2 linked regions of the Cricetulus griseus genome follow. The protein of the gene in region 2 interacts with the protein of the main gene of each other region in a pairwise test. Links are inferred from orthologs where the notes say so. Each region holds a gene or a part of one and is shown on either strand. Other genes may lie near its edges.

The links.
Region 1: the proteins of Gopc (region 2) and Cercam interact in a two-hybrid assay, tested with the Homo sapiens proteins (2 studies listed by BioGRID and IntAct). The two-hybrid records come from large-scale screens. The link is inferred for Cricetulus griseus from reciprocal best matches to the Homo sapiens genes GOPC and CERCAM.

The regions. Positions count from the first base shown.
Region 1 is NC_048599.1:141,525,199-141,529,490, forward strand, and holds the start of Cercam (inactive glycosyltransferase 25 family member 3), read left to right. Parts: upstream 1-1,452; 5' UTR 1,453-1,455; coding exon 1,456-1,715; intron 1,716-3,053; coding exon 3,054-3,164; intron 3,165-3,312; coding exon 3,313-3,430; intron 3,431-4,292. UniProt on the Homo sapiens protein: Probable cell adhesion protein involved in leukocyte transmigration across the blood-brain barrier. Does not express any beta-galactosyltransferase activity in vitro.
Region 2 is NC_048595.1:256,530,850-256,534,410, forward strand, and holds part of Gopc (Golgi-associated PDZ and coiled-coil motif-containing protein), read left to right. Parts: intron 1-1,059; coding exon 1,060-1,155; intron 1,156-2,697; coding exon 2,698-2,862; intron 2,863-3,561.

The sequences.
Region 1 (4,292 bases), on a different chromosome or scaffold from region 2:
CCCTGGAGCTGGAATTACAGACAGTTGTTAGCTGCCATACGGGTGCTGGGAATTGGTCCTTGGTTAAGAGCAGTCAGTGCTTTTAAGCCCTGAGCCACTTGGCACCAGTCACTCCTCTCTTAGCCCCATGGCATTGTTGATTAGGTTTCAGCTTTTGACTGTTGGCGGGCACACTCTGACCACAGCACCCCTATCACTAATACACTGGACAGAGACTCTACATATGTAGGATGGGGACAGTTTTAGGGAGAACCCTCATTTGGGGACTGGGAATGCCTTGGCCAGAGGCTGACAAGCAAGAGGGAGGACTCTGGCTTCCTTCCTTTCAGGATGTTTCCATGGGCCCTTCCCATTGCAGGACCTTTGGTTGAAAATAGCCAAACAGGAAGCTGAGACCAAAGCTAGGCTAGAGATCTGACTCCAGTGTTCAGTTCCCAGGATGCTGCTCATCACCAGGTAAACCCTTTCTTTATCCTGTCAGTAGAGGGCGTGAGCCCCAGCCTAGTGTGCACCTTCCCTTCCCTAATGTCCATAGAAGGCTGAAGGAGACCCTTGGGAAGCAGACCATTCAAACGGAGGGAAGGTGCTCTTCTAACCTAGCCCAGGCTGCATGCAGAGAGCGAGACACGGAGAGCCTCAAAATGCATTCACTCTCAAGGACCCCTAGCAAACCCTCATGTTAGGCGTCATTAATTAGGTTTTACCTGTGAGCATCAGGAGACTCAGGGAAAGGGACTGTCTTAGGCTGGTGACAGATACCCAGCTGGAACTTCTGAAGCTCCTATATCCCCACCCCACCCCAAGAAAGGTTGGAGATTCCCTTTCACCCCAACAGGGTCCTAATACTCGCTCTATCACAGAGGAGGCGATATCTCCTATTTTGGAGGGGGGCTGGGTCACCATCAGAGGTTCTGTGGTGGTCTTCAAGTCCTACACTCAGTCTGAGTGGGCTCTGCTTTCTTTAAGGGCCGGATCTTGGAAGATGATGAGAGGACACGTACTGCGCCTTAATCAGCGGCACCCGGTCCCCGCCCCCGCTGGCTTGCTCTCCAGCCTGTCGCGTCATCTGGAGGGTATGTGGACTTCCCACATGGGGCCACCAGAGGGCGCCGCAGACGGAGCAGGGGTCGGGAGCCGGGACTCCCAGCCAAGCCGGCAGCCTCGCGGGTCTACCGCTGAGGGTCAGGGAGTCGGGATTCCCGGGTGCCCGAATTCTAGGAGTGAGATGAACGTTCAGAGTGCGAGCGGTCCACCATTGGCCCCGTATCCTCCCTTCCTGGCCGTTGCCTTTTGAGGTCCACACAGAGAGGGCAGCCCGGGGACGCGTCTGGAGCAGGTGTCTGACCATGGACATCTAGGACCCGGGCTGAGAAGAGGGCAGCGGAGCGTGCGGGCACCCGCAAGGGTCGCAGGGGCCCCATTGCTGTAGCCACGCCCCTCAGAGACCCCGCCTCCATGCCCCGCCCGTCCCGCCCCCTCCCTGCCGGGGTGGGAGACCCGGGGGCCTCCACAGCCGTGAGTCCCGCCATGAATGTTGCCTCGCTCCTACTTCTGCTGCTCCTGGTGGGCCGCCGGCTCCAGGCTGCGGTTGTCACGGAGTCAACGCTGCCCACTGTGGTCCTTGCTATCCTGGCCCGCAATGCGGAACACTCTCTGCCCCACTACCTGGGCGCACTGGAGCGCCTGGACTACCCCCGGGCCAGGCTGGCCCTCTGGTGAGAGATCATGGGTGGGCACATCTGGGCATCACACCCCAGGATCCAGGACAGCCTCTGACCCGGAGGCTTCATCGCTCCTGTTCAGACACCACCGGGCAAGCTCCTCCCTCCCAGACATGCACTTAGGGCCTCAAGCCCTTCAGCAGGGTCCCTAACCCTCTAGGGGCAAGGGCAGACCTCTGAGGCCTTGGGTCAGCCCAAGGACACCCACTCCTCCTTCGGGCCTCCTAGTTTTCGGGCTCATCCCCGGCTTACTCTAGTTTAAGTTAGGCCTGTCCTTTCCTACCCAGCCCTTAGAGCTCACAGCGCATCTCAGTGGTCAGCTTGATTTGGAGTATAACAGGAGTAGAAAACTCTGGAATCCCCAGGGACCTAATGTAGCAAGGATCAGTCAGACTGGAGGTTTCTAGGGAGCAGATGGAGGGAACCCTCAGCTCCAGGCTGCATGCTGGGCAGGGGCATCAGGCTGAGTCCCCTCCTCAGTAGTACTGCCAGCCTCTCCCGGTAGAGGGGCTGGTAGGTTCCATCCCCAAGGTCTGTGGCCTGGGCTCCCAGGCTACAGCAGCCTGTCTATAAAAGTCTAAACAGGGAGGAGCCCAAGCTGAGGCTGGAGATAAACTGCTCCTCTCAGCACACCAAAGTTGGGCTTGGGGTGGAGCTGTGGCCTGGGGAGGCTGCCCACAGTCTCAACAGCTTGGGAATTAGTTCCCACCCTTGTAGGACTTGACACGTAGTTAGTCTTCACTTCTGAGGAATTGGCTTAAAGGGGCAGCATCGTCCGAAACCTGGCTCTTGGCTGAGATTCCCAGCTCTTTTATAAGAACCCCTTCCCCAGCAGAGAGAAAATTGTGCTCCATGGTAACAGGTCTGGCCTCCAGCACTTCTCAGTGTGCTCAGAGCATGGTATAGAGTCCCAGTTACAGTTCAGGATAGAGAAAGGCGGTGACTCTTTTGTCTGATTCAGAGATGGAAAGGGCCTGGCTTGTGGTGCCATGAAGACGGAAGAAAATGAGGGGCATAGCAGGTGCAATCCTTAAGGTCAAGTGCGTCTTTCACAGTGCACTCAGGCTGAGGATGTGGCTCGGTGGTCAAGGGCTTGCTTGGCATGTACAAGTCTCTAGGTCCAATCCCCCAGGACAATGCCCCAAATTAGAAGGGAGGATGTGAAGCACAGCACATCCTCCAGCACCTCCACTGTAGGAATACCTCTCCCCCATTGCTCTCAGGACAGACCAGACTTGAGGGTGTCCAAGGGCACTTCAAAGTCAAGTGCACCTTGGGGTTCCAGCCCCTCTGTGGCTGTGGTCTCTCAGTTTTTATATCATGTGCTCACAGGTGTGCCACAGATCACAACGTGGACAACACCACAGAGATGCTACAGGAGTGGCTGGCTGCTGTGGGCCGTGACTATGCAGCTGTGGTCTGGAAGCCCGAGGAGGAGGCCAGGTGTTAACCTGAGGGCAAGGGTGTTGGAAGAGATGGAGAACAGCTGTTACCCAGTGTCACAGCCCCCAGAGCAGGGCTGTGTCCACAGCCCTGCTGAGAAGGAGAGGTTCCTCCCTTAGAAGAACATCTAACTTCCTTCCCTCCTCAGGCCCTACCCAGATGAACAGAGTCCCAAACACTGGACCAAAGAAAGGCATCAGTTTTTAATGGAGCTGAAGCAGGAAGCTCTGACCTTTGCCAGGGCCTGGGGAGCCGACTACATCCTGGTAAGGAAGCCTGGTCTGGGATTACGTGGGAGGCATTGGTATTGGTCCCCAAAAGAAGTCTTGGTTATGACCAAACCACCAGGCTGCATCTTTTTAGATTGAGCTGAGACCCTGTATTGGCTCCTTGCATACTAGATACTAAGCCTGGATCCTAGGACAATTCTGAGGTTACATGTTGTGCCTAGATTCCTGAGCTTTTGTTTAGAGTATAAACTAAGCCTGGATCACAGGACTGGAGTGCAGAGTATGTTTTTTAAATATTTATTTATTTGGTTTTTCAAGACAAGGTTTCTCTGTGTAACCCTGGCTGTCCTGGAACTCATTCTGTGGCTGGTCTTCAGAGATCCACTTGCCTCCACCTCCCAAGTGCTGGGATTAAAGCTGTGTGCCACCACTACCCTGGGCTCATTTTTGTTTTATGAAAGTGGGCGTTTGGCCTGCAAGCATGTCTGTGCATCACATGCATGCAGTGCTCACAGAGGCCAGAAGAAGACCTCAGATCCCCTGGAAATGGAGCTACACTCAGTAATGAGCCACCATATGGTTGATGGGTTTCAAACTCAGGTCCTCTGGAAGATCCAGTAGTGCATCTAACCACTGAGCTATCTCTTCAGTGCCCTCAGTGTTATTCTTTTGTTTAAATTAGAAATAAAGAAGAAAAGAGGCGGATGAGACATAAGACTGAGAGACATATTAGACATATTAAGCAGTTTATTTTAGGCCTGGCAGAGTAAAGAGACTAAGAGAGAAGAGAAACAGGGGTAATGGCTGACCGCCATGGCCGGTCACCATAGAGAGGCAGAGAGAGTGTAGGTGGGGGAAGAGAAGAGCAGAGAGAAGAGTAGAGAGAGAATAAAGAGAG
Region 2 (3,561 bases):
TGATATAATTAAAATCATGGAAATAAGTGGCCAGGGAAAACATCTATAAATTAAACAGGAATAGGAGGCCAAGGATGGAAAGTTAGTGTGGTGGAAGAGAGTGGGTCACAAAGAAAGAAGCCTGACCAGTCAGATGTAGGTTACCTGGGAGAGTAAGAGAAACCAAGGAAAAGAGGGAGTTTCAAAGTGGATATTTATTTACCCCATGTCAACTTTCTGCTAGGTAGGGTAGCGACTAAGAGTGTACATTGGATTCAGTAGTATTTTCACAAGTGAACATAAAGAAAATTGCAGGCTAGCAAATGGTCTTAATCATAGTGACCAAAGTAAAGTGGGAGGCCAGGAACTTAGTCTGTGTAGAGGGTAGAAGATAGTGACAGAAAGATGGCTGGGTGGAAGGGGTATTGTTGGGCTCCTTTTGTTTGGTTTGGGAATTTGTCAGTATCTTGAAAGTGGAAGATGGTTAGAATTATTGAGCTGCTGAGTTGAAAAGGAGTTTAGTAGAGAGAAAAGGATGAGAGATACGAGAGGTAGCCAAGCGTGCCAGTGCAAAGTGTTTGCTTAGTGTGCAGTAAGGCCTTAGGTTTGAACCAAAAACAAGGCAAGGGAGGTCAAAAAAAGAGCAACTAAAGGAACTGTTTTTAACAGGTAGGTTCTAGAGCACTACAGAATAAAAAAGTAATTAGTGGTTCAAGTTGAAATGAAAATCTCAATTCTAAAACTCAGTTATCATTTATATAGGGTATTAAGACAAGATACTTTCTAGTGAAGATACATGGTTACTACTTTATTCCTTAGAGAGGCTTGTTTATTGTTTGATTCCTGGTAATTTTATAATGTCTTATAATCCAAACAAATATGTATTTCCAAAAAATGGAAAAAAATGATGTTAAAATTTGCTGTACCTACTGAACAGCATTTTCATCTTTTTAATTGCTATGCTGTTTATCTCTACCAGAAGATTAATAATGGTTTCTAAAAGCAAGTTATGTAACATGAGTTCTACTTGGTTTGTTATTTAAATACTACAATTTTTTTTTCTTTTTTCTCTGCAACAAGGATCAAGACTCGTTGAAGAAAAGCCAGGGAGTTGGTCCAATTCGAAAAGTTCTCCTCCTTAAGGAAGATCATGAAGGCCTAGGCATTTCAATTACAGTAAGAAGTAGTGCTTCCGGGTTCCCTGTGGGCAGGGCTGGGAGAACCAGGCATCATCTGGAAAACAAAGTGTTGTGGATATAGCTCAAAACAACCAAATCTTTCAAGACTTAGGCAGCGGCACTTTCGCATAAAACCTTTTTGTGTATAAAACTTGTTATAACTTAGGTGCTGACATCTTCAGTACAACTGAAAGCATGGTCTGTACCATGTCTCTGTGGTGTCCTTGGGGCCTGTGGGCAGCCAGGCTGTCCTTTCTGAGTTAAGTGGCTCAAAATGCAACGCCCTTGGGCTTGGAGAAATGGGTCAGTGGTTACACACTCTGGCTGCTCTTTGAAAGGGCCCAGGTTCAATTCCCAGCACTTACATGGCAGCTCATTAACTGTCTGTAACTCCAGTTCCAGGGGATCTGATACCCTCTTCTGACCTCCTCAGGCACCTGGTATGACCATGTTATAAAGACATGCATGGAGACAAAATACCAATATACATAAGATAAATTTTTAAAGTAAGAATAACATAGAATTATACAAGCTACATAGAGTGAGACCAATTAACAATTGCTATAATCCTTCAACTCAACATTACATATTTTTACATTTCTGAAATTGAGGATTTATCACACAATTTTAAAACTACCTTGGTTAAAGCTGTACATGGTGGCACATGCCTTTTATCCCAGCACTTGTCAGGCAGAGCTAGGTTGAAGGCCAGCCTGGTCTACATACCAAGTTCCGAGCTGCATAGAGAGACCCTGTCTTCAAAAAACAAAACAAAACAAAACAAAACAATTATCTTGGTTATACCTAAAATTGATCTTATCATACATGTCTTAGTGTTCAGTTGCCGTGAAGAGACACCATACCCAGGCAACTCTTATAAAAGAAAACATTTATTTGGGGCTTGTTTACAGTTTCAGAGGATTAGTGCGTTATTATCATGTGGGGGAACATGGCAGCATACATAGCACTAGAGCAGTACCTGAGAACTGTGTCCTGATTCACAGGCCTGGCTTGGGCTTCTGAAATCTCAAAGCCCATCCCCAGTGATGATGTACTTCCTTCAGAAAGGCCACACCTACTTCAACAAAGCCACACCTCATAATCCTTCCAATATGTTTAAACAATTCTACTCCATGGTGACTAAGTATTCAAATATATGAGCCTATGAGAGCCATTCTTATTCAAACCACCACAGTACATAACAATTGAGATTTGCTAAAAGCACTATGGAAGAACCCACAAGATGACACAAAATACTGTCGTTTACTAGTATATAATTTGTTCTTAATGTTTAAGAAATGAGGTTATTGTTTGTTTGGGTATTTTAGTTTGGGGGTCTATAGTGATTTCAGAAAATGGAATGTTTTTAGTCATTGTACTCGGGGGTGCTTCTTTGGTAGCAAGTAAACTTTCACCCAGTGTTTACAGAGACCTTCTGCCTATTGAAATGAGTTTTTAAGAAAATGTCTTCTTGAAGATGATCTGCAGCCATTTAATAAAATATAAACTAACTAACTGCCTTTGGTATTGTTACTGTTAGGGTGGGAAGGAACACGGTGTTCCCATTCTCATCTCCGAGATCCATCCAGGACAGCCCGCTGATCGATGTGGAGGGCTACACGTTGGAGATGCTATTCTGGCAGTGAATGGAGTTAACCTGCGGGACACAAAGCACAAAGAAGCTGTAACCATCCTTTCCCAGCAGGTGAATTCTCTTTATGGAGTTAAAACTAGCATAGAACTTGTTTCCATTCTTTGAAGCCTATGGATGTCATTTGATCATATTTTGCTGAAAAGGACAGTTATGTTTACTCCTTCCCAAAGTTTCTTACCTTTGAACAGATTACATAGGTCGTCTCTGCGGCAGTCTCATCTGTACAGCTGAAGTGTCCAGTAAGGTGTGTGTTGATTGCTACTCAGAATATGATGGGTACATAAGAGCATGACTGATGGCATCATAGCAAGATAGGGCATCAGAGAAAGGGCTGCTGGAAGTAGATTGGCTTTAGTCATAAAATGTAACGTAAGGACCCTGAACATTGTTGTTAGCCCACTTTCCTTTTTTAACAAAATTAAGCTGGGCTGGAGAATTGCCTCAGTGGGTAAGGGCATTTGCTGCTCTTGCAGAGGACCCAGATTCCGACCCTTTGCACCTACACGATGGTTAATAATTGCAGCTCAAGGATTGATCCTAAGCCCTCTTCTGGTTTCAGAGGGCACAGACATTGATGCAGGCAAAACGCCAATATGAATAATATAAAATAATGATAGTGATAAATATTAAAGTAGCTAAACTGAAATCCTTAGAGAATAGAGGATGTGCTCAAAGTTGCCTAGCAAATTAGAGTTCATATTTAGAGTCAGATTTGTTATGTCACGTCCTTGCAACCTCTGTTTTCCTCTG